Linked DNA regions of Alligator mississippiensis. Each later gene encodes a partner of the first gene's protein in a complex. Links are inferred from orthologs where the notes say so. Each region holds a gene or a part of one and is shown in the gene's direction. Other genes may lie near its edges.

Region 1 (7,013 bases):
TGAAAAATGAAGACACACAGCTTCCCCCACCCCCACTTAAACACACAGAAGTTGGGGGGGTAGAGTCCCCCCCAGGGAAACGGGGGGGGGGGCACGCAGAAGTGAGTGGGGGGGCACGTGCCCCCCCTTAAAGACACACGAGTCTATGGGGGGCCGAGACCCCCGGGACAGTGCAGGGGGGCACTGAAGAGTGTGTGCGCCCCTGAGTCCCCTTTGTGTGCGTGCACCCGCGTGCCCCCCCGCGGGCCGTGCCCCCCCCTGCCATTTTCTTGCCCCGTCTCGGAGTTGGGAAAAGTTTGGTGGGGGGGCTGTGTGGGGGGGGGAGCCGAGGGGGCGGGGCACTCCCAAACGCCCGCATCCCACATACAATCGCTGGCGCCGGGGGGGTCCCCCCTCCCGGCCCCCCGCGTGTCACGTGGCCCCGTGGGGGGGGGGCGGAGCCCCCCCCCTTAAAGGTGCCGCGTGGGTCGGGAACAACAAGTTCTTCTTGGACTCTCAGGTACCCCCCCCACGACCCCCCCAATACAGAGGGGGCAGAGAGCAGCTCCCCCCGGCAACGTGGCAGCCCCCCCCCGCAAGGACTTGGGGGAAAGCAACAAGTCTTCCCTCCTCCCCCAAAAAAACTTCCGCCCCCCCTAGGTGCCCCCCCCCCGCAGTCCGCACCTGCGTCCGCAGGGGTCTTCATGGCTCCTGCGCTGCCGCCGCCGCGGGCTCGGCCCCCCCCACCCCCCCGCCCCGCGCTCATATGCACCGGGCCGCCCACGCCCCCCCGCACACGTCACCGCCGCGTCGCCATGGACACTGGGCCCGCCCCCCGCGGCCCCGCCTCCGCCCCGCCCCGGCCCCGCCCGCGCTGTGGGGGGAGGGCTGCTTAAAGGGCCCGCGCGGGAAGCGAGGGGCAGCCGGCAGGGGGCGCTGCGCTGGGGGGGTGGGTCGAGAGTGAGGGGCCCAGGGCGGGGCGAGTGGGGGTTGCAGGTCGGGAGTGGGGGGTACCAGGACGTAGGGTCGGGAGCGAGGGGCACCGGCGGGGGCACCCTGCAGGCGCCTCGGGGCGGGCGGGCAGGCGCGGGCAGGCCGCAGGAATGCGGCAGGTCCAGGCTGGGGCTGGGGCGGTGCAGAGGCCTGTGGAGTGGGGCGGGGAGCAGGTCGGGGGTTCCCGCCCTCAGCCAGGCCCAGGATGGTGGCCGGCGGGGTGGGCTCTGGAGAGCATGCACAGCCACGCCTGCAAAGGCACGCGTGTGAGGCCTGTGTCACAGGTGTGAGGCCTTATGGGCCGGGGCGGCTCAAGGGGCCAGGGCACGTGTGTGCAACATGCCGAGTATGAGGGGCAGGCAACGTGTGAGCGTTCTGTGACCCCACCCTGGTGCCATGTCCCCATGCATGTGATTGTGTCGCACCAAAACGCCCGTGTCTTCATGTGTGGAGCTGCCATGGCCTATGTGCAAGGGCACCCGTGTGCCCAGAATGGTTGTGCCAACACAAATGCACGCGCACAGACACAGCCCCATGCTTGGAGATTTGCAGGGGGGCATCCTAGGTGCCTGGGTTCTGCGTGTGCAAGCACACAAGCGCATCCCTAATACTCGCGTGCGAGCATTCTCCATGCCTGGCTCGCGTGTTCATGCATGTCCTGGATTCCTGGGTCCTATATGGACATGTGCCCTGGGTGCCTGGATTCTGCATATGTGTGTGTGCATGTAAGTGTGCGCTGGTGTGCCCCAGATACCTGAGTCCTATGAAATGCTTTTGTGTGCATCTGTGCCCAGATACCTGGGTTCTGTGCATATGCCCTAAACACATGGGTTGCCCGTGTGCATGTGTCTGTCTGCCCCAGACACCTGGGTTCTGTGCATGCGTCTGTGTGCGCGTGCACACATGCATGTTAGACACCTGGGTCTTCACATGTATTTGCCTGTTCTGGGCACTATGTGCATGTTGCCAGACCCAGGTCGGTCTCTCCATCCACTGCACGTGCTGCGAGCACGTGTCACACCTGCAACCCCGTGCCTGCGGCTCTTTGCACATCCCTGGGACAGTGTCTAGGCCCTGCATGTGCCCTGGAGGGCACAGTATGGTACACATCTCCCCCGTGTGTGCGGCCACTTGCACGCACTTGGGTACATGTGCATGTGCACAGCACGGCACCCCACACATCTTCAGATCTGTATCTCCTGCACATGCATGCGCATGTGTGGGGCTGGGCCCCTCTCTGCCATGCTGTGCATTGTGCCCCCAGGGATCCCCCCCGCCCCCCCCCCCCCCCCCCGACTCTGGGCCCTGGGGTAGTAATTAGGTGTTTGTTTACGATGCTTCATTTAGCCACAAACTACTAATGCTCCTCGCATGCGTGTGTGCATACATGCACCCGTCTGATGCAAGAGCAGGCCGAGCAAACCAAGGGGTGCCAGGGGCTTGGATGTCTGGGTTCTCTCCAGGTTTGGGGGGGGGGGGGGGGGCTAGGAGCCAGATGCCTGGGTCCCTGATCCAGGTGCAGTCCTGGCCTTGCATGCCCACATGGCCCCTTGCAACACCCCCCTGCCCTCATGCCCATGGCTCTCACTTGGTGGCCTCCAGGCCGTGCCGACATGCCAGCTCCCTGGGGACCAGTCCTGACCGAACATCCTACCTGGGGGGAAAGGGGGGTGAGTGAAGGGGTGACATCACCCCCCCCGCCGGGGTGCCCCCCCCTTCCCTGTGCCCGGGGGTGGGGGGGCAGGGCTGGTGCCGCCGGTTCTGGCCCTGCTATAAATAGGAGCCTTATAAATAATGCAGCGTGATCGGCTATAATTATCGGCGGGAAGTTTGCGGCTGGTAGGATGCATTAGCGACCCCCACCCCTGGGTCCCCAGGCCCTGGGGGCCCTGGCCTCAGCAGGGCACCACTGCGGGGAAGCTTACAGCGCTGGGGGCAAAGCCACAGGGAAGCTGCAGGGTCCTGGCTCCACAAGGAGAAACGGGGGGGGGCAGGGGGGGGGCTGGAGCCACAACGTCTGGGCCCCACCCTCATTCCTCTCCCAGAGCTGGAGAGAACCCAGGCCCCCCCCCCCCCGAGAGCCCAAGCATCTCAGCTCCCAAACCCCCTGCTCTCACTCTCTGGGCCCTAGAGAACGCAGGCATCTGGGCTCCCAGCACCCCTGCTCTCATCCTCCCAGGGAGCAGAGAGGACCCAGGTATCCTCACCCCACTGCCCTGCCAGGGAGGAGAGAACCAGGTGTCCAGGACCCCCCTACAGCCACTTGGAGGTGGGAGGGGAGGCCTGGACCTGCCCAAAATTAGCCACCAGTGCTAAATCAGCGGCAAAATCTCCACAGGTCCCGCCTTGGCTCTGCCTTCTCGCACCAGCCAAGCCGTGGGCACGGGCGCAGGCATGGGCACTGCACAGGGCAGGTCAGGGCAGGCTCCGAGGCAGGAAGGGGCCCGGGGCCTGGGCCTGGTGAGGAGCAGGCCAGGGTCACGTCCTCACAGCAGGCTGCCCACCAGCCTGGGGTCCAGACACTGCTGCAGGCAAACTCAGGGCATGTGTGGGGGCGGTCCCCAGGTACAGAGCTGGGGGAAGCTCACAGCATTGGGGAGCTCACAGCCTTGAGGGAGCTCACAGCACTTCTGGAGAAAGGTCACAGCATGGGGACAGCTCAGGGCAGGGCTGGGGGAAGCTCACAGCCTTGGGGGAGCTCACAGCATGGGGACAGCTCAAGGCAGGGCTGGGGGAAGCTCACAGCATTAAAGCCAGCACAGGGCACTGCTGGAGGAAGCTCACAGCATGGGGACAGGGGGCGGGGCCAAGGCAGAGGTGGGGCCAGGGCAGGGGGCGTGGCGAGCGGCTCCAGCGTGTCCCCCCGCTCCCCCCTCCGCTCACCCCGTTCCGGTCCCGCCCTGATTGGCCGGCTGCTCCGGCCAATGGGCGCGCGCAGCGGTGACCTCATCCCTCGGCCGCCCCGGGGTCCCATTGGCCGCAGCGGGCCACGCCCAGGGCCCCCACGTGGGGCACGCGCCCGGGGGGGCGGGGCCGGGTGCTGATTGGCCGCGGCGGCTCCGCTGTTGCTGAGGGGAAGCGCGAGGGGCCGACGCGGGACCGGCCGCGGCTGCCGGGGGGGTGAGCTCATGCATATGCTAATGAGATGCAAATCGCATGCAAATGAGGGCTCCGCGGGGGTGAGCGACTTCTCCGTAGAGTTTCTGCCCCGGCCGTGGGGGGGGACGACTACAAATCCCGTGAGGCTTTGCGCGCGGGGCCTGCCGGGAGCCCCCTTGAGCGGACTTCGCTTCCCAGCAGCCCCCGCGAGGGCCGCGCGCTTCCGCCTCGCGCAGAGCCAGGTAAACAAGGCCGGGCCCCGCCGGGCCCCGCCCCAGCTGCGCCGCCATTCGCTACTGTAAGCTCGGCACCTCCCCGGCACCGCGCTCCCCACGCCCTCATTGGCTACTGTAAGCGTCTATCGGAGCTGGGAGCACCGGCCCCGCGCAGCGCCCGCCCCGTCCCCGGGGCCCATTGGCCTGCGCGGCTGTCTGTTGTGGGAGGCGGGGCTTACACGGGCCAGGCCCGGCTTCTATTGGGCGGCACCGCCGCCCGTCAGGTGGTTGTGGGCTCCCATTGGCCAGTGTGTCCAGCTGGTCCGGATTCATTCACCATTTTGTCTGCTGGAGTAAAAGGGGCTCGGGGCGGCCGAGTGGGGCTGGGCCGCACCATCCCGCGGGCAGGGGGGGCCGGGCCGCACCATCCCCTGTGCCGGGGGGGCAGGTAACGGGGGGGCGGCCCCAGGGCTGGGTTGTGCCACAGCTGGGGGGTCGGCTGTACCATTTCGCTCGGAAAGGTTGGTGGGGGGAAGTCCTTGTCACCCCGCCAAGAGTGGGGAGTGGGAGCTACCATCACCCCCACAATGGGCGTGCCGGGAGGTGCCACTGCTTCCAGGGCGGGGGTGAATAGAGAGGTCTTGTCTCCCAAAGTTGGTGGGTCAGGAGAGTCTACCCTCCCAGATATGGGGTGAGAGCTGGGCCGTACCAACCACCCCAAAGCAGGGGGCGGGGGCACGCTGGTGCCAAGCGAAGTTCTGGGGGTGTAGCAGGCCTTGGGCCCTACCACGATTGTGTGCGGTGGAGGGTGGGTGATGCCTGGAAGTGGGGTGTATTATGGGATGGGGGGCATTGCTGTGTCAGCCCCGGGGTGTTGGGGTAGGGTGGGCTGGGGGCCAGTCCTTGGGGACGTGGCCCCCTTGGCTGTGGGTGGCTTTGGGGCTGGGCTGGAGAACAGGGGCCAGGGCAGTGCAGGGGCTGGGCTGGGCTGGGCTGGGGGTGGGCCTTGAGGGGACAGGGGCTACAGGTTGGGAGTGCGGGGCACTGGCAGGACAGCAGGGGTGCCTGGAAATCTGACCCCTGCTCCCCGCAGGTCCCTGAGTCTCTGCCTGGCCTGGTGAGAGGAAGATGAAACCCGCGGCGAGGAAGGCTGCCAGCTCCTCACCCGCGTCCAGCACAGGCAGTGGCAGCCACTCTCCCCCCTCCACCCGAGCTAAGGCCCAGCGGCGCCGCCCGGCTGAGGGGGGCCCGAGGCTGGAGGAGGAAGAGGAGGGCGGGGGCAGCGAGGACGCTCCTGACCAGCCACCTGTCTTCCCCGGAGCCCGCTGCACCATGGAGCCCACCCTGGGCCCACCTGTAGAGGCCCCCGAGGCAGAGGGGGCGCCAGGGCCCGACGGGGAGCCCTCCCCCAACCGCAAGACAGCTGCCTTCAAGGCCCGCACGCCACGGCGCAAAGCGGTGGGGCCTGGTGAGGACTGGAGTGGCAGTGAGGGCTCAGCTGCCCCCCCGGAGGATGAGCCTGGGGGCCGGTGCCCCTCATCCAGCACGGACACAGCCAGCGAGCACTCGGCTGATGAGGAGGCGAAAGCAGGGCCGGTGGCACAGCCCTGGGGCCCAACGCCTCAACCCGCACCCTATGACCTGCACCAGCTGCGCTCCCAGCGGGTGTTGGCCCGGCGCGATGGGCTCTTCCAGCCCGCCGTGGTCAAGCAGATCCGACGCGGGCAGGACCTGGGTGTACAGTTTGGCGGTGACCGGGCTGTGACCTACTATGAGGGGGCACTGAGTGCCGGGGCCCCAGATGTGGTCCTGGACGCCACGCCCCCACCAGGCGCTGTGGTCGTGGGCACGCCCGTGTGCGCTTGTGTGGACCCAGGTGAGACGGCCTACCGCGAGGGCACTGTGGTGGAGGTGAGCATCAAGCCAGCCTCCTACAAGGTGCGGTTCGGGTTGTCACCTGGCCCCAGCCCCAGCCCGCGCCGCGACTCAGCCTGGGTCCCGCGCTCTGGCCTGCGCCTGCTGCGCCCACCCTGGGCCCGTGCTGAGCCTGAGAAGCCGGCAGGTGAGGTGGAAGATGAGGCACCCGGTCCTGAGGCCAAGCAGCCTGAGGACGCCGAGGTCTCCAAGATCAGCGCGGGTGCAGGCGAGCCGCCGGCCCCCATCCTGCGCCCGCTCTCGCCCCCCAAGTCACCGGGGCTGCCCCGCCTGCCTGAGGCACCGTCGCCACCCAGCGGTGCTGAGGCAGGCGGCAGCCGCAGCAGCAGCGGGCTATCCGGGGAGAAGGGTGCCGCACCAGGGCCACCGGGGCCGGGCCCAGGGCGCCGCACGCCATTGACTGCGGCGCAGCAGAAATACAAGAAGGGTGATGTGGTATGCACACCCAACGGCATCCGTAAGAAGTTCAATGGGAAGCAGTGGCGGCGCCTGTGCTCGCGCGAGGGCTGCATGAAGGAGTCGCAGCGACGTGGATACTGCTCGCGCCACCTCTCCATGCGCACCAAGGAGCTGGAGGGGCTGGAAGGCAGTGGGCGAGGCAGTGGCCTGCGCGAGGGCAGCGCTGAGTTCGACTGGGATGACACGTCGCGGGACAGTGAGGCCAGCAGCGCACGGGGCGACTCACGGCCCCGCCTGGCACCCACTGACCTGTCGCGCTTCGAGCTGGACGAGTGCGAGGCAGCTGTTATGCTGGTGTCGCTGGGCAGTTCACGCTCAGGCACCCCTTCCTTC
Region 2 (7,823 bases), on another chromosome or scaffold:
GGTTTGTGATGGTTCTTAGTTCCTGGTGGGAGTTCATTCTACTGTTTTGAGCTACCCCAGAGAAGGATCTGTCTCCTGCCCAAATGAGTTTTATTCTTATTGCAGGAAATTCCATTTTGCCAGAGGAGGTCTTCATCCTGGTTACTGTGTATGCTTATTTTCTGAAACAAATGACTCCTCCCCTCATAGGGCTTAGTCCTGCATGCCTTGTTTTGTCAAATCTCCCAGTTTAAATCAATAGGACACCTTACCTAACCAAAGGCTAAAAGGATTGGGCCCTGTGCCTCCCTTCTTTGGAAAAGGTCACATTATGTGCCCCACCTCTTCAGTATTAATCAGGTCTCTTGTCTTCAATGGCAAGTTGGATCTGTGCTCTGAGGCAAAGTTCCTGGATGTTGTGGAATCTAAAACCTTTGCTGTAGCTTTTCTAAAAGTAATTTCTGTAATCAAATATAAAAATCCAGTAGATGAAGCAGGCTGTGTTGTTTTATTTATTCTAAGATGTCTGCATGTTTTTGGTTCCTGATCTGCCAAAGGGTTTTGTGCTGACACCATATATTTGTCCTTACTCTGTGCTAGAAGAAGCTGGAAGAGTAGCAATTAATTAAAGTAGAACTAGGTGGAATTTTTTGCCCATATGGAGGCAGTTTGGGTTTGTAGCAACTCCAAAAATTGTGTGTCAAATTTAGGACTGTCAATTAATCACAGTTAACTTAAGTGATTAATGGAAAAACAAATTAATGCATTACTTTTTTCAATCGTGTTAATCGCACACATCATTTTGACCAGTGGAGTGGACCAGCGCCAGACCAGCTGGGACCCATGTGCACAGCCCTGTCCCCAGCCCACTCCAAACCTGCTCCAGACACACCTGCCCACGCTGAGCAGTGGCAGCAGTAGCAGTGGCCAGGCAGAAGCTGCTAGCTGGCATGGAAGAAAATGCCCCTCCTAATCACTGCTGGGGCCTTCTTGCTGCAGCCACCCAGAGCCCACACCTGGGCTGCCCTGCAGCTTCTCTCTGCTGCCATCACTGCCACCTCCGGGCTGCCCAGTGGTGGCAATGCAGAGAAGCCACAGGGCAACCCAGGTGTGGGCTTCAGGCAGCTGCAGCAAGATGGGCTCAGCAGCAGTGACGGTAAGGGGCCTCTTTTCCTCCTTGCTGAGCAGCAGCTTCTGCCTGGCTGTTGCTGCTGCTCAATGTGGGCAGGTGAATCTGGAGCAGGCATGAGGCAGGCCAGGGATGGGGCTGTTTGCATAGGTTCTGGCTGGTCCACTCCAGCTGGGGAGAGTCTGTAGCAGGCACGGTCTGGGCCAGGGTCGAGGCTGGGGCTGTGTGCTGTTGGTGGTGGCACAGAGGAACCACCCGCAGGGTACGCAGGCTCGGGTGGTGAGGAGGTACTGGCTGTTGTTTAACTGTGCGATTAATTGCGACTATTTTTTTTAATCTTGCAATTAATTGCTATGATTTTTTAAAATCTTTTGTCAGCCCTAGTCAAATTGTTTGTAAACCCAGGAACTCCATGCTGCATCTGTTTATATTCAGTTTTACATTTTAAAGGGGTTCTTCTTAACTGTGAGGTCTAGAACTATAGATAAAGCTTACATTTTGAAAAACATTATTCCATGGCAAAGTATGGCAAACTTCACAGCCAGAGAATGGAAGAATGAGCAGTGTTAATCTGTTGCAAAGGGGAAAGTTGTCCAAAGCTTGCTTCAGCATGAATGTGGCTTCTCTTTCTCCGTATGTGCCACACCTGTTGGCAAGGCGAACATCTCCGAAGGAAGAGATTCCTTTCTACTGAGGTAACTCTCTGAAGTACAGAAGTAACAAGGTGACGGGGAGAGAATGCAGTGTGTGTTGAGCTGAACCCAGATTAAGGTGTTGCATCATCACTAGCACTTTTACGTGGTTTTCAGTAATTCACCTTCTCGTCCTTTCTTTGATTACATTAATTAAACTTGCATAAGCTGGGAGAGGATGCTACTGAGGTCTGCTTTGCTGTTGCAGATTGGCTACCCTGTGATGCTGAGTTGCATGTCTCCAAATGCCTAGGCTTGTTTCTGTCCCCAAAGCACTCAGAAAGCAGAGAATGCCATCCTTTTGTGCAGACCTTAACTAAAGGTTTAGACGTTGCAACAATAAAAGAACCTAATTCTTCATAAGCCTATACTAGATTGTTGTTTCCTATAGGTCAAAACCTTGGCAGCTTACAACATTGTTTACATTTGCTCTTTAGTGAGTAATATATTTCTAAGTTATAGAAATGCTTCACTGACACCTGAGGGGCATCTAAACTAAAAAAGTGCCATTTGAGATCCTGCACTGGTGTGAGTGAACTGGTGCAAGTAGTGACAGTACAGAATGGCCACACGAGTTATCCTGTTTGGAGGAAATGCAGTATGTTCGGTCCAAATTAGAACCTCTTTTAAGTGTTGCCAAGGGTTATGAGGCATTGTACATATGCTACAATGTTCAGCACATCTCTCCTTAGAGCAGGTGTCATTATGTCTATAGCATACATAGGGCATTTGTGCGTGTTCCCACTGTGGTTACTTTTGCCTCAGAAGATGCTTGTGCATAATAAAGAACAAGGGTTACTCTGTGCTGTGTCCTCTCACTTGCTAATGCTGTGGCAGTCAAAAACTTCTTCTGGACTCACTGCCAGGCCCTACCAGGACCTAGTAGGTTAGTAGGTAATACAACAAGCATGGCCAGCATTGGGCTTTGGTGCTTTAGGAGGAACAGCACTTGATTTTATGATGTGCTTTCACTTCCCCAGTACCCTCTTCAGTTTCAATTTTGTTCTCCCCTTTTTTTGGCTACTAAGATAATGGTTTGTTCTCTTCTGTGTTGTCTTCTAGGAAACTGGAGCCAGTCCAGAGGTCTCTGAGACAGGACATTTTCTTGGACTCTTTCTTGCCTCCAAGGGTGTCACTCTCCTGTCACCCTGACCTTCTGTAATGGAGCCGCTGAGACCCAAGGTCCTCCTCCAGGGGAACACAGGACAGTAACTAGTGGAAGCTGAACCACAATGGAGAAGTAAGTCATTTTTCCCAAGGCAATAATTGGGAGTGTCTTAGCCTCAGAGCAGGTATAATCAAGGCGGTGACACCTAAACAGACCTGTGCACTGTTGACACAGAGTACTACACTTGCACATACCTGGAATAAATTAGGGCAGCCTGTGTATGACACATGGCAGACTGGGGAGGACTCAGGCAGCACAGTGGCAGATAGGACAGGAAGCAATGCAGCAGATGGGGCAGGCAGCAGAAAAAGCAACAGATCCAGCAGAAGCCCAGGGCAGAAAGCAGAGCAGCAGATAGATCAGAGAAAGGAGATCAGAGTGCCCTTTGGGGAGGTTTTGGGGCTAATCTGTGACACGCTTGCCAAAAAAGACTGGACTCCACTGTATTAGGGTGTCCAGAGGGCCATTAGTATCTATATTTACCTAGTCTGACTAGGCCTTTCTTGAGGTTTAATGAAGGACATGAGTAAAAGTCATCAAAGCCTTGATCAGGGAGCAAGTACCATGGGCAGAAACAAAGTAGACCCTGCTAATAGGATTGGCCCCTGTACAAAGCATGTTAAGCAGGATTTCCTAGGAGAAGAGAGGCAGGCTTTGGCTTCTGCTTCCTTAGGGCATCCCTCTGTCAGGCACCTTCAGGCAGGCACCTATCTCACAGGCCTGGGGGGTGAGGAGTCGGGGGGAGGAATCCCAGCCTAGGTGAGACCAGCTGATCTCCACCATGTCCAGGAGGGATGGTGGCCAGGACAAGGCAGCTTCCCCAAGGCAGCCTCTAGCTAGCCACAGGAATGCTGGCCATCCTCAGAGACCCCTGGGGTTGGGAGTGAGTAGGATGGTCCAGCTCCACAGGACGAGCACCTTGGAGATCAAACCAGATTGCTGGCCAGACACAGGCCCCTTGAGCATGTATATATATTTAAAGAAATTGTCATGTTCCAAGCCAAATCAAGTCCAAATCCGTGAGTCAGTCCAGAACCATAAGTGGCCCTACAACCAGCAAACGTCCTCTACCCATACCAGGAACATCAGATGTTTCCAACATCTTTTGGCAGGCATCCAACTTGGGGATGCCTGAGTTTCACTTGCCCTCAGCCATATGGCTGCAGGAGCAAGCTAGGGAGGAACCTCCCCTTTCCATGAAATGGACTTAAAGCCCAAACACCTTGGCAGGTACTAAACCACACCAGAAGAGCGCTTATCCTCCAAGCGCTCAAGGAAAACTGTCTTCAGGGACTCAGATACATGGTGTTTCTCCTGCCAGGTAAGTATTGACAGGGTTGTATAGAAGCAGGATGTGTGCTGCCGTGGTTCCCCTGCTTTACCTGTGGCAGGGTCGGGGTTAGGTCTCTGTTGAGTCAGGGTTGGGTGTAGACTTCTGCAGAGTTCAGATGAGGGCTGTAGGGATGGTTTGGCTAGGGCTGACAGCGCATCCGGCAGCGGGTCGGACCTGATGACCTCTGGAGGTCTTTTCCAGCCTGACTTCCCTCTGATTTCTACCAGACACCCACAAGGCGCTTCCTTCTCCGTGCATCCCTAACCCAAGGCCAGCGAGCAGAGCTGGCCTGGCAGAGGCCGGAGGAGCCCTGCAAAGGGTTAAGGCCGGTTTGGCTCGGCTCTGCTGTGCGTATGCTGTAATGTGTGGCTCTCTTTGGCCGCCTGCCAAAGTGTTGCCTTGCCTCCACCTCCTCCTCCTCCCTCCCCTCCCCTCCCCTCCTCCCTCCCTGCCTTGTGCATGAAGTCGGATCCTTGAGCTGTTGCAGAGGCAGCCAACTGCTCCATATTTGGCTTCGCTTACACACTGACATACCGGGGAGCGGAGCAGCCTCGTACCGCAGACATCCCTGCATCTACTACGGCGCTGGGGGCAGCCGGGACCCGCGTGTCACTCACTCACTCCCGCCGCGGGGGAAGGAAGGAAGGAAGGAGCCCGGAGGAGCCAGCCCCGCTGCAGCACCCCCACGCCCGGCCCGGCCCGGCTGGGTGCTGCTGCCTCCCCCCGCCCCTCCTCCAGTGACACTTTACAGTAAGTGGTTTTTTATTTCTCCTCTGCTTTTGCCTCCCCCTCCCCCTTCCTCCTTCCCTGCAGCTGGAAAAAAAAAACACGGGGGGAGGGATCTTCTACCCTGTCCCTTCCTTGCTTTTGGGCACAAGGGCTTTGTGATCCCCTGGGAGTGTGTGTGGGGGGGATCATTGCACCCCCCCCCTTGCTGTGCATGCAAGGGTTGGGGGGGAAGGAGAAGGGATCTCTTACGCTGTCCCTCCTGCCCCCTCCCCTGCTCTTGGGCACAAAGGCTTTGTGATCCCCTGGGGGCACGCACTGCACCCCGTCTGCTAGGGGGAGAAGGGGTCCTACCCTGTCCCTCCTGTACCCAGGCTCCTGCCCCCCTCCCCTGCATGCCAGCTTGTGGGCACAAGGGCTTTGTGATCCCCTGCACCCCCCCCCCCCCTTGCTGTGCATGCGCGGGGGGGAATCTCCTACCCTGTCCCTCCTGCACCCGGGGCTCCTGCTCCCTCCCTCCCTCCCTCGCCGCGCAGCCCCTGGGCGAAAGGGCTTTGTGATGCCCTGGGGGCAGTCCCTGCACCCGCTTGCTGTGCTGTGCTGTGCTGTGCCGTGCCAGGCGGGGTGCAGGAGGGCCGGGGCCGGGGGGGGGTGCTCGTGGGGGAGGGGTCTGAGTTGCAAGGCCGGGCCGTAGTAGGGGGGGCGAATGAAGCGAGCGGCGCGGGAGGCGGCCGGCGGCGGCAGCAGCAGTAGCCTTCCCGCTCCGGGCCCGTGCGCAGGCCGGCTGCAGGCACCGGCTGGCGCGGGGCCGGGGTCAGGGCAGGCCTGGCTGCCCCGCTCCACGGCCTGGGGCTGGGCGCGGCGCTCCGGGGCCCTCACAGCGCCCCCCCCGGCCGCCCGGTCCGGTCCGGCCCGGCCGCCTGCCCGGGCCCTTGGGAGCCGGCTGCCCTGCAAACCACCTCCAAAATAACACCCCCCCCTCCAGCCTTGTCAAGTCCAGCTCCCACCAGAAGTGATGAGGCTGATGGGGGGGGAATAATAACCATCGCATTATTATTAGTAGTAGTAGTATTAGTGTTATCATTATTATGACCAGAGTGAGGCCTGTTGGGATGTGAGCGGGGATGGGGAGCAGTCGCTGAAGAGGAAACACGGGAGAGAAAACCTCCCTCTCCTCCCAGCGCATTATATAAGGAGAAGGCTGAGCTATTTTTATTTCTGTTTACCCTACGCAGGGCAATGGGGACTCTTGCAGGCAGCAAGTTTTCGGGGGGGGGGAGCCACTCTTTGGCCCCCCCTGGGTGAGGCTGGACTCCGGATATAATCAGTAAAAAAAAAATGAAAAAATGAAAAAGAGAAGCCTTCTGATGAACGCCTGGGTTAGAAATGCAGTGTAAAAAAACCACTGTCCCTTCCGCCTGCCCTTTATGAGCAAATAAGAAATGCGGGAGGCAGATGACCTTAGTTCTCCAAAGCCTTTTTATATTTGGTGGCATGAAGACATCCGTATGTCGTCATGCAGGTTCTCCTTAAAACGTAAGGATCCCTGCTATCTATTTTATGCAGCAGGGGTAGGCTGCATGTCAGACATGGTCTGGCATAGCCGGTTACTTTGATTATATATTAGGTAAGTCGAGGGCTTTTCATTTCAGTTTCCAACCCAGACCTTTAGCTACTGCAAAATTCAGATAGCATGTTAATGTAGTTATGTTGCTTTGGATGGTGAAGACAGTTCAGTTTTATAACCTGGAAAAAGGATTATGAATGAGGGGGAGAAAATTGAGGGTGAGAGAAAAAAAATATGCCGTAGCTTTTTTTTTTTTTTGGTGAGATGCAGCAAGGTGTCTTCTTAGAACAGCTTACAATTTTGTCTCATTGTCTCCAAACATACATGCATATATAAAAAATAAAAATAAAAAAATGGTCCAATATTTTACAGGCAGCAATTCTTAGAAAAGGCTGGCTTTATTATCGCCGTTTATGTAAGGCAAAGGTTGATAGGTTTTCTTCAACTCTTGCCTGTCTATCTCTCTGTCATCATGTAGATACATGTCAGTGGTGTAGGTTTTCAGTGCACTTACTCTAGCCCTGATCAGTCATGTAATTAGATCAGGCTGCCATGGTAACAGACAGTATTCATCGTCCATTCAGGTGTGTTTGTCTTGTGACTAGGCTACCTCAAGCGGTATATGTACTGTATTTATGTTGTGCAGCCTGCATAGCTGACTGCTCTGTCTTCTTGCAGAATGTTTCAGCATATTGTAATCATTTCCTGACCACTGAGTATGTGAAAGATGCTCCTCGAGTGCTACAGCATCAGGCAGTTTTTACATTTGTGCACGGTATGCAAATATATTGACCTAGTCAGGGAAATTACTCTAGTGTTTATTGTTTGTGAATCAACAAATGTTTGCTACTCCTTCTAAACTTTTTTCCAGGCTTATCTAAATGTTTAGTCCCCAGTCTAATCTTTTTAGAGGGCTAGGTGTTTAACCATGTGAAGGCTGAAATTGTGCATGAAAGATATCACAGGTCTGAGGGCTAACAGCTTAGGCCCCAAACGGCGTGCCTAACTTTACGTGCTCTGACTAGCAGAACGAAAGTGATGGATAACTGGCATCAGCATTATCACTTACCTCAAAGAACGTGTTGTTATAAGCATGTTTGTAATTCTTAGCAAGATTGGGGCCTTCGTGTGTTTTACTTGGTCATTGAATTTCCAATTTCACTTTCTAAAACGTTAGGAGGAATAGCTCTTTTATCAGAGACCTTCTCATTACAGGTCGGTTCATTTTC
Region 3 (7,469 bases), on another chromosome or scaffold:
GTAACCTGGCCCAGCGGTGGCGTCTGACCCTACCAGCTCACTCTGCCATTACCCCCAGTCTCTTTGCAGAACCTCTGATGACCTGTCACAAACCCTAGGGTTCTGCAGAGCACAGACTGAAAACCATTGCCCTTGGGGACTAGACAATCTCCCTAGCTTTTCTTTTAGGTGATTTATATACTGCCCTCTGATAGAGTTCATATGGAATTCTAGGCAAGTGGCATAAACCAGAACTGTAATAGCACATTTTCTGTGGCTTCAATGGGAGACATCTGGAATGCAATTTGCAGAAGTGCTAAGCCTCACAGCTGTGAGTGAAGTCAGCAGAAGCTGGATAGTGAACAAAAATGGTGCTACAAAACACTGGAATCCTCAAATTTGGCACCCAATCATGTTGACACTTTTTACTTTTCTGGTGGCTTCTAGCCTGAAACATTATTTGGTTAAAAATAATTCTTATCATACTTCACAAGGGCATGGTGAAGATACATTTAGTACTGTCTGTGAGAACCAAGATACTCTGATGCAGCATCTTTGAAAAGCTTGTAAGGAAATTTACAAATCTGTTTTCAGTGAAGATTTTGGATGGTGCACAGTAAACAGTGCAGAAAACTGCATGTTGTGCCATAAGGTTAAAAAGAAATACTGAATTTTTATTCCTGTTCCTATTCTTGAATTCCATCTAGAAATTTCCTGGGTCATCAGATCCAGTCCCTGGCTTCCACAAGCAACCACATCACACAATCCCTTTCATAAGTGCCATCTTAAAAACAGTTAGGATTTTTTTGCCCCAGTACTCCTATTAGGCTATTCCAAAACTTCACTGTTCTGTTCAGAAACCTGATTTCCAGCCTAAATTGATTAATGACCACTTCATATCAGTTTGTCCTTGTGCCCTGCTGTCCTGTAGTTTAAGTAGTTCTTTTCTGTCCCTGGTGTTTGCTTTCCTGATGTGTTCAGAACAATCATTTCCCTGCTAGGCCTTTGTTTTGCTAGGATAAACAAGCTAAGTACTCGTTAGTTTCCTTTTGTGAAGGCAACACATTCAGTGAGGGCTATTCCTCCTGTGCACCATGGGTAGAAATAGAGAGAGTATGTGCTCATCATGTTGGTAAAACTGTCTTGGAATTCAGACACACAAGGAGACTGAATTACTCCAAATGGGCCATGTTAAGACTTGGGCCTAATTTCAAGTAGCTAATCTTCAATCTTAGCCCAAATACTAGATCAAGAATATCACATGATGAACAATACAACATTTGGGAACTTCAAAACCTCTCTAGTGAAGAATTCCGTCAGTTTATGCAGCAACTTTGCAAAGCACTAACTAGGGTAATTAGTCCCTGGGCCTGCAAGCATGTATTTGCACCACCCTTGGTGTAGATTAGAAGCCTTCCTTTATTTTGAATAAGATGATAAAGCATAACTACATTGTCTCCTTACCTCTCCATCTTAGGATCATGCTATACCAATGCCTGTCTAGAATCAACTATAAGAAGGTAAAGTGGATTTGCATCTTATAGACTAACCAAAGAAAAATATGTCCATATAGATATAGCTCTTTGGATAGTCTATAAGGATGTGTTCAGAAGTTGCTTTTTTACCATTTAAAGAGCTTTATTGTTGTGACTTAACAGCAGTGCATGACTTTACAGCACTTTAAAAATGGGTAGAGCCCTTTAAATTAACCCTTGTTAAATGAGATAGTAAATTTGAAGCACAGTATTTTACAGCACTTTAGCAACCTACAGCACTTTAAATAACTTCTGTACTCTGGTCAACTTTCTGACTAATGGAGAAGCCCCAGGAAGCTCAGAGCCCCACCTCCCCAACACTACACTTCTGTCATATTTAAAGGTGCTGTAACTTTTTAGTCCTATAAAAAGTGCTTTAAATTAAAACCTATATGGAGCACTTCTATACACACCCTAAGGTGCAAATTTAGCCTGCCTTCTACTTGACTTCAGGATAACATAGATAACTGTCTCTAGAACCAACTATGCCAAAGCAGGTCCATCAGGGACACCCAAGTTGTATTTTATAACATATATGCAAGACTGGGGGCATCAGCTGCCATAATTAAATTCTGGATGGATGATACTTTATTACTCTTGATTTAAGTGTATGAGCCTGAAATGCCAGTCTTTATCTACTGATCCTGGCAACCTCTTGAATATTAATTCCAGGTGAAACCCATAGAATAAAGATTTTGATTCTTACTCAAGCCAAATGTAGGACTTCTTTCTGCCCTGTCTTCCCTAGCCCATTACCAATGGGATCAAAGAAACCTAAATCAGTACAACCAGGCACTCTGTCACCCAGTCTCTTTATCCCAAGTGCACAGTAAATGTTGCTTTATCTTCTTGGCCATCCTAGAATGGCCCCTGAAGAAATTCAGCTGAGAAAGTTAAAAGCTCTTCTGGCCTAGTAATTCCTGTCTCCTAGTCCACAGATGGAAAATAACCCTTCCAGTTCCTGTCATTAGGTAATGAAATGGAAGAATTTTTCCCATCCCTTTTCCAGCCTTTCGTAATCTTGACCTGCAGGAAACCTCTCTCACTCCAGACTCAGTGAACAGGGCCAAACTCCATCCATCCTGACAATCTCACCCTCCCCACAAGGTTGTGTTTTAACTCATAGCATCATCCCTGTACTACTTGAAATGGGATGACTGGTGACACAGCCTGGCACTTAGAACAGTCTGCTTGTCTCCATTTACTGTGTGGGTCTCTTCCCTTGGTCAAGGGAGAAGGATAAACCTATCCACATAAGTCTCATCCTTCTTAAAACACCTGAAAGACCTAAACAGCTCCACTCAGTCTTGCCCATAGCCGCCACATCCCAGAGTGGGGCCAGGATCTAAAGAGGGTGAGGTTCCTTACTGCTATGTGGAATCTGCCAGTGGGCAGGCTAGGCTTCAGAGAGACCTAGACAAATTGGAGTATTGGACTAAAATAAATTTCACAAAGTCCAATAAGGACAAGTGCTAAGTCCTGCATTTAGGATGGAAAAATCCCATGCACTGGTACAGGCTGAAGGCTGACTGGGTGGGCAGCAGCTCTGCAGAAAGGACCTGGGGGTTACAATGAACAATGAGCTGAATACGAGCCAGCCGTGTGCCCTTGTTGCCAAGAAAGCTAACGGCATAGTCAGCTGCATTAGTAGGTGTGCTGCCATTAGGTCAAGGGAAATGATTATTCCCCTCTATTCAGCACTGGTGAGGCCACATCTGGACTACTGTGTTCAGTTTTGGGCCTCCCACTACAGAAAGGATGTGGACAAATTGGAGTCCAGTGGGAGGCAAGAAAAATGGTTCAGGGGCTGGGGCACGACTTCTGAGGAGAGGCTGAGGGAACTGGGATTATCTAGTCTGCGGAAGATTTAATGGTTTATAAATAGGGGGCGGATTTAATAGCAGCCTTCAACTACCTGAAGGAAAGTTTCCAAAGGGGATAGAGCTGGACTGCTCTCAGTGGTGGTAGATTGCAGAACAAGGAGCAACGGTCTCAAGTTGCAGCAAGGGAAGTTTAGGTTAGATGTTAGGATGAAATTTCTCGGGAGGAGGGTGGTGAAGCACTGGAACAGGTTCACCAGCGAGGTGGTGGAGTCTCCATCCTTGGGGGTTTTGAAAATCCAGCTAAACAAAGGCTTGCCTGGGATGAGGCAGTTGGGGCTGGCCCTGCGCTGAGCAGGGGTTGCACTAGACCAGCCTTTGTCAACCTGGTCCCAGGAATATGTGAAAGGATCAGGAAAAAAAAATTAAAAAATGGATCAAAAAATGGATCCTCCTTCAAAAACGTGGGAAACCGCGGCATTTCCCTGGCAGAGCTGCAGCTGCAAGGGGCTGCTTGGGGGCCCCCTGGCCCACACACTGGGGGACGCGGGTCGGCACTGCCCATCGCTGTTTGCCAATGGGGCCTGGTACAAAAAATGTAGAGAACGGCTGGTCTCTTCCACCCAAATTATGACTCCGTGACCGCTCCTGCCCGTCCTCTCCCGCTGTGCACCCAGCACCCGCCCCGCCGGAGCTGTCCCTCCCTGTGCTGCACCCTGCACCCCCCGCGCATGCGCAGCGCCCAGCCGCAGCACGAGCCGCCCCCGGCCGCGCCCCCGCCAGTCTTATGCCGCGACCAGCGCCGGCTGCCGGGGAGGGCGGGGGGTTGTAGCAGCATCACCATGGCGACAGTGACGTCAGCTCACCCTGGATCTCATTGGAGGAAACCCCGTGGCCCCAGCCGCAGCCCACGGGCCAACCGAGCTTGCGCCCGGCCTGCGCCCGCCCCCGCCGCGGCGCGCTGCACTCCGATTGGCCGGCTGAGCCGCGGGGGGGCGGGGCCCGAGCCGGAGCCGGCCCTCCCATTGGCCGCGCGGGCGCGGGGCTGGCAGCGGGGAGGTGAGGCCGTGCCAACGCCCTTTAGCGCTGGCTCTAGTCTGAGACGGGAGCGGCTCTTTCTCTCCGCCACCGCCCGAGCGCAGCGCAGCGCGGCCCGCCCGCTCCTGGCGCCAGCCGGCCCGGCCCCGCGCAGCCGCTCCAGGTGAGTCCGGCCCGACCCGGCCGTTGGGAGCGGGAGCGCCCCCCCCATCCCATCCCCCCCCCGCGCCGCGCCCTCCATTTTGTGCCGCGCGTGCGGAGTCTCCGGGGCCGCGGGCGCGGGAGCTGCCTCCACGCCGCCATTTCGCGCCGGCGCGGGGTCTTCCCCTCATGTTCCCTCGTGGGGGGGCCGGGCGGCCGAGCCCCCGCCATGCGGACACACGCGGCGGGGCAGGGAGGGGCGGGGGGAAAGGAGGGAGGGGCCCGACTTCCCGCCCGCCCGCCTAACCCGCGCCTCCCCCCGCAGGAGCTGAGGCGCGTTGTCCCGCGGACGGTGTCGTAGCTGAGGCTCCCTCGCCCCTGCCCACCCACCTGCCCGCCACCATGGACAAGACCGACTTGATCCAGAAAGCCAAGCTGGCCGAGCAGGCCGAGCGCTACGACGATATGGCCACCTGCATGAAGTCGGTGACCGAGCAGGGTGCCGAGCTGTCCAACGAGGAACGCAACCTGCTGTCCGTGGCCTACAAGAACGTGGTGGGCGGGCGGCGCTCAGCCTGGAGGGTCATTTCCAGCATCGAGCAGAAGACGGACACCAGCGACAAAAAGATGCAGCTCATCAAGGACTATCGGGAGAAGGTGGAGGCCGAGCTCCGGTCCATCTGCACCACCGTGCTGGTGAGTTTGGGGCGCCGCTTGCTACGGGTTGGGTTGGGGGGAGTGGTCCAGAGGTGGGTGTCATGTACTGGGGGGCCCTGCCTGAACAATGCAGTAAACCTGTCAGACCCAGGGGTGTGAGGAGGGGAGATGAGCTGCATTGCACTCTGACACGTGTGTGTGTGGGGGGGGGGGTTCATGAGAGCCACATGCAAGGCACCGACTGGATCAGGGATGGCAGGGGGATTGGAGCTTAGGTGTGCCTGTGCCTTTGTATTGGTAATCTTCTGGGTGGGTAAAGGAAGACCGGGAAACTATTCTCCTTCCCCTTTTGGTATGGGGTTGATGGTCTGTGAGCACCCGGAAGGCTGGGTGTGGTACCCAAACTGCTGCAGGGTGCTGCACTAGCAGTTACGGAAAAGAGATGGAAGAGTAGAAGACTTAAATGAAGCATGACTGCTCTGTGGGGGGGTCGTGAAGTAAAATATGTGGTATGTGGCACACAGCTTCTTAATTGAAGACATCAATGCAAATCTGCAGAAAACTGGCTGTTGTCACGTGCAGGTATCCTCTTCGCATTGCTTTGTTCCATGGATGCAGTAATAGTGGAATAATGTGGAAGTTGAAAAGGTCTGGAGCCTGAGAGAGGCTGTGGATGAGCGTACAGATGCCAGGAATAGCTGTCTGGCTCCTTGAACAGTGCACTAGACTTTTCTTTTTTGCTGGTGCTAATATGCTGCATTGTGGTAGGGGCTGAATTTGTGTCAGCAGTGCGGAAGGCGCACCGCCCTGTCATATACAATCAATGTAAGTTCTGGCTGCACAAAACTAGATGTGTAATGCAGTTTAGAGTTTGTAGCAGATAACCTTGACCACTTCATTAGCACTAAAATAATAGCGGCTAGTACTGTAGGTATGTTAGGACAGGAAGAGGTGAATAGCAAATTCTTAGAAAAAAAAAAAGAAACAAAAAAGAAAATTACTATTTAATAAATCATTAACACTGCCTAAATAGTGCTAGGAGACCTATATTTAAAGCTAACCATCTCAATAATAATTGAAAATCAAATTAAGTCAGGAGTTCCAGTTCGCTGACAAGGTGCCCCTTTCTAGATTTGTCCTGAAAATATCCATGTGCTTTAGTCTGCGCTTCCTCTTAGACCAATTTTAATTCAGGAAGAAAATTTTAATGCCACAAAGCATTCTTCAGATGCCAAGTTAATAGTTTCATCTTCTGCAATTATAGGCATAGTTAAACTTGTTAAATCTTTACCTTTTTTTTAATAATACCTCAACTCATGTGAAGCATGGGTTTAGACTGATTCTTGTTTCATGTGACAGAATTCCAATCGGAATAGTGTTGTGTTGCCAACATTTGTACTACTAGTGTTCCTCTTGATTTTTATCTTCCTCTCTGTGAACTGGTCTAGCTAGCCATCAGTTTCTTAGGACTTGTGCACACAACCAGTTTTTCAGACTTCTTAAAATGTCCCTCATGCCTGCTTCTGTCAAACTGAATTCTCAAGAGGGGAGGTTACATGCATTTAAACCATTTTCAGTGTTCTAGTTGCTATGTCATATTAACAGAAGACACTCTGCTGCTCTTAGGAGTTCGGGTTGCTCTAGAAGTGAGCAGCAGCGAGCCATTTTAGCCCTTGCAGGCTAAAATTACTCCAGTTTTGGCAACTGGTGATGAGCAATTGGTGTAGCCACACTAATGAAACTCCTAATATGGGGGGGAAGAGGGGAACAATCTTACTTGCCCTGGCTGAGCTTACCCCACTACTGCTGCATTTTTTATTTTTATTTTTTTGTTTCTTGCTGCACTCAGCTGAGGCTTGGCTGGCAGCTGCCTGCTCTCACAGGGCCCCTAAGACTGCAGGAAATAGGGAAGACTGAAACCTATGAAGTGACATGCTTTTCCTGTTCCACAATCAAAGATATGCATCTTCCTGTAGTGGGAGGGGGTGTCTGCTTTCTACTGCATGAACTGAAACTGCTGCTTTCCCTCCCAGCACCATCTGCAGTCCCCCATTCTGTTCCTCTTTCCCTTTCTTCTTGTCTGCCACTACTCTGCTCCATGAGTCAGCAACAGAGAGATTGAAACTGTCATTGTAAAGAACAAATTTTCCAGTGCTTACACATTAAACAGAGCAGCAGCAAAAAGTGCTCTCAAGAGCTGCCCTCTGCTCACCAAAATTTTAATTTGTTTAAAAGTAAACTGTTATCCATAGACTATTACCAGGGTAGGAATTGTAGCTAAATCTCAAATAGTAAAGTA

Evidence for each region.
Region 2: the proteins of CIC (region 1) and ATXN1 are in contact, whole or in part, in an NMR structure (PDB 2M41), measured with the Homo sapiens proteins. The link is inferred for Alligator mississippiensis from reciprocal best matches to the Homo sapiens genes CIC and ATXN1. Residues at the interface, in NP_001291744.1 of Homo sapiens: Val943, Phe944, Pro945, Trp946, His947, Ser948, Leu949, Val950, Pro951, Phe952, Leu953, Ala954, Ser956, Gln957; in NP_000323.2 of Homo sapiens: Pro572, Tyr573, Phe574, Ser578, Ile579, Ile580, Gln581, Leu582, Ala583, Leu587, Val590, Leu593, Phe598, Ser601, Ala602, Leu608, Asp611, Ser613, Phe631, Val633, Ala638, Gln639, Val640, Val642, Tyr648, Pro649, Phe650, Phe651, Trp657, Ile683.
Region 3: the proteins of CIC (region 1) and YWHAQ are in contact, whole or in part, in a crystal structure (PDB 6KZG), measured with the Homo sapiens proteins. The link is inferred for Alligator mississippiensis from reciprocal best matches to the Homo sapiens genes CIC and YWHAQ. Residues at the interface, in NP_001291744.1 of Homo sapiens: Arg1207, Ser1208, Met1209, Ser1210, Glu1211, Thr1212, Gly1213, Thr1214; in NP_006817.1 of Homo sapiens: Lys49, Arg56, Lys120, Arg127, Tyr128, Gly169, Leu172, Asn173, Val176, Tyr179, Glu180, Leu216, Ile217, Leu220, Asp223, Asn224, Leu227, Trp228.

What each region holds. Positions count from the first base shown.
Region 1 is NC_081838.1:30,783,327-30,790,339, forward strand, and holds the start of CIC (protein capicua homolog), read left to right. Parts: upstream 1-4,010; 5' UTR 4,011-4,092; intron 4,093-4,633; exon of another isoform or gene 4,634-4,734; intron 4,735-4,904; exon of another isoform or gene 4,905-4,977; intron 4,978-5,379; 5' UTR 5,380-5,414; coding exon 5,415-7,013. Other genes in the region: ETS domain-containing transcription factor ERF, read right to left, coding at 664-745. UniProt on the Homo sapiens protein: Transcriptional repressor which plays a role in development of the central nervous system (CNS). In concert with ATXN1 and ATXN1L, involved in brain development.
Region 2 is NC_081826.1:129,980,100-129,987,922, reverse strand, and holds the start of ATXN1 (ataxin-1), read left to right. Parts: upstream 1-4,749; 5' UTR 4,750-5,051; intron 5,052-5,894; exon of another isoform or gene 5,895-7,369; intron 7,370-7,823. UniProt on the Homo sapiens protein: Chromatin-binding factor that repress Notch signaling in the absence of Notch intracellular domain by acting as a CBF1 corepressor. Binds to the HEY promoter and might assist, along with NCOR2, RBPJ-mediated repression. Binds RNA in vitro.
Region 3 is NC_081824.1:31,109,906-31,117,374, forward strand, and holds the start of YWHAQ (14-3-3 protein theta), read left to right. Parts: upstream 1-4,422; 5' UTR 4,423-4,535; intron 4,536-4,838; 5' UTR 4,839-4,915; coding exon 4,916-5,209; intron 5,210-7,469. UniProt on the Homo sapiens protein: Adapter protein implicated in the regulation of a large spectrum of both general and specialized signaling pathways. Binds to a large number of partners, usually by recognition of a phosphoserine or phosphothreonine motif.